2 linked regions of the Cricetulus griseus genome follow. The protein of the gene in region 2 purifies or fractionates together with the protein of the main gene of each other region. This does not show direct contact. Links are inferred from orthologs where the notes say so. Each region holds a gene or a part of one and is shown on either strand. Other genes may lie near its edges.

The links. The genes of interacting proteins can lie anywhere in the genome.
Region 1: the proteins of Tmem63b (region 2) and Cxcr4 purify together in Homo sapiens (co-immunoprecipitation; 3 studies listed by BioGRID and IntAct, with this or other methods). This does not show direct contact. The link is inferred for Cricetulus griseus from reciprocal best matches to the Homo sapiens genes TMEM63B and CXCR4.

What each region holds. Positions count from the first base shown.
Region 1 is NC_048598.1:60,235,089-60,239,302, reverse strand, and holds the start of Cxcr4 (C-X-C chemokine receptor type 4), read right to left. Parts: upstream 2,801-4,214; coding exon 2,780-2,800; intron 604-2,779; coding exon 1-603.
Region 2 is NW_023276807.1:31,988,961-31,992,460, forward strand, and holds part of Tmem63b (CSC1-like protein 2), read right to left. Parts: intron 2,341-3,500; coding exon 2,303-2,340; intron 1,432-2,302; coding exon 1,289-1,431; intron 1,201-1,288; coding exon 1,149-1,200; intron 1,023-1,148; coding exon 914-1,022; intron 336-913; coding exon 265-335; intron 1-264. UniProt on the Homo sapiens protein: Mechanosensitive cation channel with low conductance and high activation threshold. Osmosensitive cation channel preferentially activated by hypotonic stress.

The DNA of each region.
Region 1 (4,214 bases), on a different chromosome or scaffold from region 2:
CACCACAATGTGCTGGAACTGGAACACCACTAACCACAGGCTGTCAGGGTAATGGCGGTCACAGATGTACCTGCCGTCTCCCTGGCTGACGTCAACAAAGATGAAATCAGGTATAGTCAGTAGAAGAGCAGGGATCCAGACACCCACGTAGACTGCCTTTTCAGCCAGCAGCTTCCTTGGCCTCTGACTGTTGGTGGCATGGACAATGGCAAGGTACCGGTCCAGGCTGATGAAGGCCAGGATGAGGACACTGCTGTAGAGGTTGACAGTGTAGATGACATGGACAGCCTTACATAAAAATTTCCCAAAGTACCAGTCAGCCATGGCATCAACGGCCCAGAAGGGAAGCGTGATGACAAAGAGGAGATCAGCCACAGACAGGTGCAGCCTGTACTTGTCAGTCATGCTTCTTAGTTTCTTCTGGTAACCCATGACCAGGATCACCAAGCCATTGCCCACTATGCCAGTCAAGAAGATGATAAAGAAGATGGTGGGCAGGAAGATCCGATTGAAATGGGCGTTTTCATCCCGGAAGCAGGGTTCCTTGTTGGAGTCATAGTCTCCTGAACCTATGTCTTCAGAATAGTTATCTGCAGTGTATATCTGCAAAAGAAAACAGGGACATGCACATCACTTACAAGGTTAACAAGCCTTTCCCAAGTTTTAAGTTTTCTGGTGCCAAAACAAAACAAACAAAAAACCACCTAGCCGTTTATTGCAGGTTTTAACCAAGCCTTTTCCAGGAAGCTCCAAAAGGCTGGCTTAGGTCCAGAGAGAATACAAAATCCTGCAACCGATGGTTTTCTCCATCTTCCCTCACAGTCACTTCTTTATCCTCCCCTTAGTGGAACCAATTAGGAGTCTTTGTTAAGAACAAAAGGACGTTGAGATTCTAAGGGTTTCACAGCCTAGTCTTGGATAACTCTCCTGCCCGCCCACGAGAGGCAAGGGGGAAAAAAAAAGTAAAACCCCAAACCAACCAAAACAAAACAAAAAAAACTCCGGTCACACAAAAGAAGTCACTCCCAGGCGCTGTAGGGTGGGAGCGAGAGGTGTGAAGCTAAATCTGCGTTGGAGGAGGAGATGGGATTAAGTTTTTGTACGAAGATTAGGCAAAGGAAAGAAGAGAGGAAAACGGAACATGATGGTGGGGTTCCCCCCAAAGACAACGTTTTTTAGGGGCAAAACCTTGTTTTCCTCACATCTGTCTAAACACAAGCCACTGCATTTCAAGTCACACGTAGTGAAGAAAGAGGAATAATGCCAAAGTCTTTGGGGATCTTTGGGGATTTAGGGTTATGGGGGTGCTAAAAGTGAGCAAACAGCACTCCTCTACTCCACCTCACCCCACCTCCGGGCGCTTCTCTGGAAGGTAGGTCTCTCTTGCCACCCCCATGTTTATCACTGGGTGTATTTGGGACGTTAGAGTCACATTATCCTGGGTGGGGAAAGTCACGGGGTCTGCACCCCGTGGTTTTCACCCCAAGTTTCACTTCCTCACTCTCCCGGTCCTTTCCCACCCTGCAGCGGACCCAGCTAGCTACTGGAGTCCGAGGTAGGCAGCTGGAAGGGTCGAAACCATGCACACCCGGAGGTCCGAGTCACCCACCTAGGGGTTGGCGCTGTGGCCCACTACACCCAGGCTTAAGGCCAACCGGCAGCGGTTCCAGGGGTTCCTCCTGGCTGCGCGCCAGGATCGTCCCTCCGGGTGCGGGCGACAGATTGGGCGGCTCCAGTGCGAGCGCCTTTGAATTGCGCGCCGCGGGAGGAAACGAAAAAAAAAAAAAAAAAAAAAAAAAAACATTCACACACACAACAAAACCCTCCCTAAGCGAGGGGGTTTCAAAAGACTCAGGAAACCACCGACGGTTAAACTCTGCACTGGGGCTCAGTCAAACCGACTCCAGGCTTGCACCTGTTCATCCCTGCGTCGACCAGGCACAACCCAGGTGCGGTTCCAACACGCCCTCTTGTCCCCAACCACCATCCCGCCCGGCACACCTCCCGGCCGGCCGGCAGCTGCAAGGTGCAGGTTTATGCCCCTTTCTCGTGAACGGTCCTAAAGGCAACCCAGACCTCAGGAGGCTCGTTTGCCACCGCGGAGAAGCGGCGGTTCGGATGCCCCGCAAAGCGCTGCCACTCCACCCCAAAGCGGCCGCGTTCGGTCACCTCCCCGCGGCTGCCGAGGTTTGGACCCCCGCTAGGCAAGCGACGCGATAGGCGAGTTCGCGTTTCCCGCCAGAGACTGGCGCTCCTTGGAACCACACTCCTAATCCCAAGAACCGCTCCAAGATGCTTCTTCTGTTCGAAGCTAACCCAGGATGTAGTGTCGACCTGGGAACTCTGCCTACACGTACCGACTCCAGTTTTTACATTCACCCAATGTAAGAAACTCCAAGAAACTCCTGTTCCCAGGAGGACCAGACCATGTTTGAGTACTGGGACAGAGCGCGAGCCTTCACCGTCCGTGTGCACAAAAAGTAGGACGTTTTCAAACATCGTGCAAGCCGGCGCGCGCCACGGAACTCAAGCGGGAAACAGGAGCAGCTTCAGGAAAGCTGCATCCGAACCTCCCCCCCGCTATTTACTGGGATAAATATTTTTTATCTTCCTCCCCCTATAGCCATGCTCACACACACACACACACACAAAAATAGTTCCCGCGACCCTTCTTCGTGACCCCGACATCCCCAAGGTTCTAGTCGCTTGTACCCGTTCTTACAGGGGCTGCGCTCTAACTTTGCACGCTTACTACAAAGTCGGATGCAACTGGACTTACACTTACACTGATGCCTTCCATGGCAACACTCGCTCTCCAGCCGTGGTGGCTACCGGAGCACCGAACGCCTCGGAGGGTCTCTGCTACCTGCTGCACCAGGCAACAAATTGAAGTTTCTGGCCCGAACTGGACTTTTATAAAAACACGCTCGCGGTGCAGCGCATGCGCAGCTCGGAAGGGGCGGAGGAGCCTGGCGGGGGCGGGGCTCAGGGCTCTGGGACACCGAAGTACCAGAGCGGCTGCTGTTCGGCTTGTAGGTCACCTCGTGGGTCCAGAGCCTGGCCGGATAAAGTTCTCGAACTTGGGGAAAGCAGGGTGCCAGCCAGGGAGTTTCTGTGGGTCGCGCATCCATCCTTGCTCAAGTGGATAGAATTCTAGACCTAAGAGTTTTCTAGAGTGACTTGGTGGCGGGAGTGACTTGGCGCCTACCTAACCAGTAGGCGGCAATGTTGGAAGCTCAGTAAGGGTCTGACTCCATTCCCTGAGCTGTCAGGAGCTACTACTATCCAAGCTTTTCTGGTCGCCAAGTATGTGTTACTGCACATTCATATTAATGACATCAGGATTAGATGTTGATAAGCAGAAAACACTTACGGACCTTTTGAGAAGTACAGCTATACTCCCAGGAAAAAAGTCACAACAGAGGCAACCAATTCGTGAAGAAACTTTTAAAAAAATGATTAAAATGTTTTATTATAAAGTAGAACTTAACGACGAGCACTATGTGTAACAGATCCCAAGAAACCTACACAGAAGCACTGCTTCATTTTCATTTCATAAGCAAAGAGGGATGCATCTAATTAACAGGTAATTACAGAGTCCCAGCTTCGGGCCACGAGCTGTTCTAGAAGCGGGGGATACAGCCGAGATCTCCTCGCGGCAGGCGGGCGCTCCATGAGCTCTGGGGGACCAAATGGAGCAGCCAGGGACTGCAAGCCCGGCCTGAGCCCAGGACTTTCCCTTTTCGCTTAACCCGTGTCTCCCACGTAGAACACTAAGTTGAGCACGGATGGGAAGTCTTAATGAAGAGCTGGTTAGGCAGGGGTGGGGGGTGGGGTTGAGGGGGTGGATGGTTAGAGAGTCTCAGACAGACTTGGGGATAGAGTGGGCGCCCAGACAACTTCCCAGACTCGCGCCAGTTCGGGCCGGCGCCGAGAGTGGGTGGGGCGGGGAGCAAGAGAAAGGCGGGTCCAGAACCAACCAGATTGCCGAGGGGGGTAGGGGTGGGGGAGGCTTGAGGGCGATGAAGAGACATCCTGCTGCAGGAGCCTGGGTTGCCATGCAAACCAGATACACTCTCATCCTGGGATAGTCCTAAAAAGAAGGCATGCCCAGACTGAGCACTTGAACTCTATTCCAATCCCAGTTCTTCCCATCCCCGTTTTTGTTTTGAGACAGTTTTATGTAGACGAGGCCGGCCTCTGGCTCGGTATGT
Region 2 (3,500 bases):
CTGTTTCTCTCAAAGGGCTGGAAATCAAACCCAAGGTCATGGATGACCCCGAGTGACCCCTCAGCCCTGTCCAGTTCTGAAGGGGCTGTTGTCGTTCAGGAAAGTGGGAGACCAGCCCCAGCTCGGGATGTGAGGTCTCCCCCGCTCTGTTCCACTCAGCCTGGGCTGCAGACTGCTGGAGAGTCCAAGGGTGTAAAGATGCTCTTGGGGCTAATGGGTGGGCAAGGGCCTACATGTCTGAGGGGAGATGGGCTGCTTACTCACTCAAAATGCTTCTTGATTTTTTCTGACTCTGCATATTTGGAGATTCCATTGATGAAGAGAGTCCGCTTGACCTGTGGAGGAGGACAGCAGGCCTGTCTCCCTGCAGGTGGCCTCCAGGAGAGCCACAGGACGCAGGGAGGGGGTTTGGGTTTGGTGGGAATCTGTCAGGTCTCAGTGGAGTATGTGTAATAGAAGCCTGATGGAGGAGCCATGAGGTGCCTTGTTCTGTTACAGGGGGTTACAGGTGTTATCAGGTGGATGGACACTTACATCCCTGAGGAACCAGCACAGTGGCTAGCAAAGAACAAACACACGGTCCAGGCTGGGTAAGTAGCTGCAGAAGGTGAAGGAATATTCCCACCACCCATATCAAGCAAGACGACAGTACAACTATCTGACAGCACTATCAGCCATGGTATTTCCCAAGGGTCAGGCTCAGCATGGGGCGGCCTAGGCATTGCCTTCAGAGGGCCCCTGGAGGGAGGCCCTTACTCCATGTGGAGGAGGGACCCCAGGCAGCCGAGGCGGGCTGCCCTTCCTCACCAGCATGGAGCGGCCTAGGCATTGCCTTCCGAGGGCCCCTGGAGGGAGGCCCTTACTCCATGTGGAGGAGGGACCCCGGCAGCCGAGGCGGGCTGCCCTTACTCACCAGGTCATCTTCCTTGTAGCGCATCTTAGAGGTGTGTCTCCGCATGCTGTAGACTGTGAGCAGCAGGTACAGGAAAGCAAAGGAGGTGTGCAGCCAGAGGAGATTATTCCTGGGGGGGGCGGTCACACGGGGTCAGCAGGGTCCACCTCTGCCGTGTCCACCCATCTCTGAAGCCTCCCACCTCTCACTTCCGCCCTAGACCCCACCCACTGCAGAGCTACTTCCCTGGCCTCACCCTGATTTCAAGTTGGCAATGGTGGTTCTCCCGAAGCTGTAGGCATTGTTCTCTGGAAGGTGGGAAGGAGAAGGGGATGGCGGTAGGTCAGCCAGACGCCCTCTGTCCCCTTCCACTCCAGCCACCTGGCCCTCACTGACCTAGCAGGTCCCCTGAGAAGTTGACAGGCAACACGATGCCTACAGAGAGGACGCTCACGACAACCAGCAGCCCGATGATGTGCCTCTGGAAGGACAGGTAGTGCACCGCGTCGCCGCCACACTTGTCCCGGATCTCATCGTCCCTGTAGGCCACGGGAGGCACACAGAAGATGCCGTGAGGAGCAGCAAGGGAAGGCTGGAACCTGCTCACCCCCTCCCGCTCCACCCTGGCCACCCCTGCTGATGGGGCAGCAATGGGGTTGAGGTGAACTTCTCATCCCGATTTCCTGGAAGGGAAGGAAGGAGAGGAGGAGGAATGCACAGAGCCTGGAAGTGGCTAGGAAAGGTGAAGCAAGAGAGGGAGAAAGCAAGGCTAGGAATGGAGAGGCAAAGACAAGAAGAGGGAGGGGGGGAGGAGGGCAAGGAGGGATGGAAAGGGAGGGAGGCTGGGAAGTGGGCAGCAGCAGCTCCTTCTAGGGCCTTAAGGGTACCAGAGCTGAGCTCCTATGGCCAAGGGCCACACTAGGGGAGGGGTCCAGAGCATGGTGAGGGCCCCAGTGCTGACCTGTCCCAGTTTCCTGCCTTTCTCACTGCTCACTGCCTGCCTGTGGACTCTGGCTGGATGTCCTGAGTTCTGCCTGCTTGCTGGCTGCTGGCTCCTGCCTGCGTGGCTGGCTGGCTGCTTCCAGCCTGCCTGCTGCCCCCACCCGCTGGCTGCAGAGAAGTTGAGATGGGGGCTCCAGCCCCTGCTCTCAACCTGTGGCCAGGGCTGGTAGATCAGGGCATGGCTGACCTCGTGCAGAGTGTCACAGAGGAGATGGTGGGTCAGAATAAGCATTTGAGGGTCAGCCCAGGCTGGGTCCCCATTGCCTGGCCTCTTGGAGTGGGGTGCAGGGTACTGCGATGGCTAGGAGCACTAAGGCCTCAAAGCTGCTGGCTTTGGATTTGGAAGGAGATGACAGATTCTGAGGTTTCTTTCTGTTTCTCTTTAGAGTGTGCAGACCATTCACTTACTTTATCCTGAAGATGGCTGTCAGCCAGGAACAGAAGCCCTGGGGGAACAGAGGGAACACACTGGAGATCCCAGCCTATCAACCCACTTGCCTTCCCTTAAGCTCCACCCAGGGTACAGCTCCTACACCCACCCCTGCACCTGAAGAAAAACCCATCCACATAGGACATAAGTTGGTATAGTCTGCCTGGTATGAGTGAGGCCCTGGTTCCTATCTCTAGTACTGCAAAAAGGAAATATTTAAGTGGGGGTGAGGGAGACAGATCAGTCAGTAAAGTGCTCGCCGTGCAAGCACAAGGATCTGGGTTCAATCCCTGGACCCGCAGGGTGTGGTGGTACACACTCCCAGCACTGGGGAGGCACAGACAGGTTCATTGGCCAGACAGGTTGGCCTAATAGGGAGCCCTAGGTCCCAAGTTAGAGACCATATCTCAGAAAAAAACAGGTGGGCCTGGGAAGATAGCTTCTCTGGAACCTCACAAGGTAGAAGGAGAGAACTGACTTCTTCAAGCTGTGTTCTGACCTCCATACACATAGCTTAGTATGTGTATGTGTGTGTACATGTGTGTGTGCATGGTGGATAAGTAAATGCAAGTGCCCCCCCCCCAAAAAAAAAGAAAAAATAAACCAAGGTTGACAGTACCCAAGGAACAATGGTCAAGATTGACTGTTAGCTTCCCCATGTACCTGTACAGATGTGCAAACACACCTGTGCACTCATGAACACCACACACACACACACACACACACACACACACACACACACACACCAAAAACCCCACAAAGAGCTAGGAAGATCTGCCTTAAGAAAGAAAGGCCCAATAGCTTACTGTTGGACCCCAGGTCCGGAAGTGTAAATAACTGCAAACCTTAGAGTTCTGTGGGCCAGAATGGGACTGCGTATACTTTGGGGTTCAAGAAAGGTAGTGGGATCCCCTGATCTTTAGTTACTAAGAAGAGTTTGCAGGCTGGCAAAATGACTCAGAAGGTAAAGAAGCTTGCTGCCAAACCTGATGACCTGAGTTCAATCCTAAGGACCTACATGGTCGAAGGGGAGAGCCAATTTCCAGAAGCTGTCCTCTGACCTCCATATATACAATGTACATAGTGGTAAAAACACCCATAAACTTATACAAATGAATTATACAAATGAATTAATTTGTATAATAAATTAGTTGTACAAATTAATTATGTAATTAA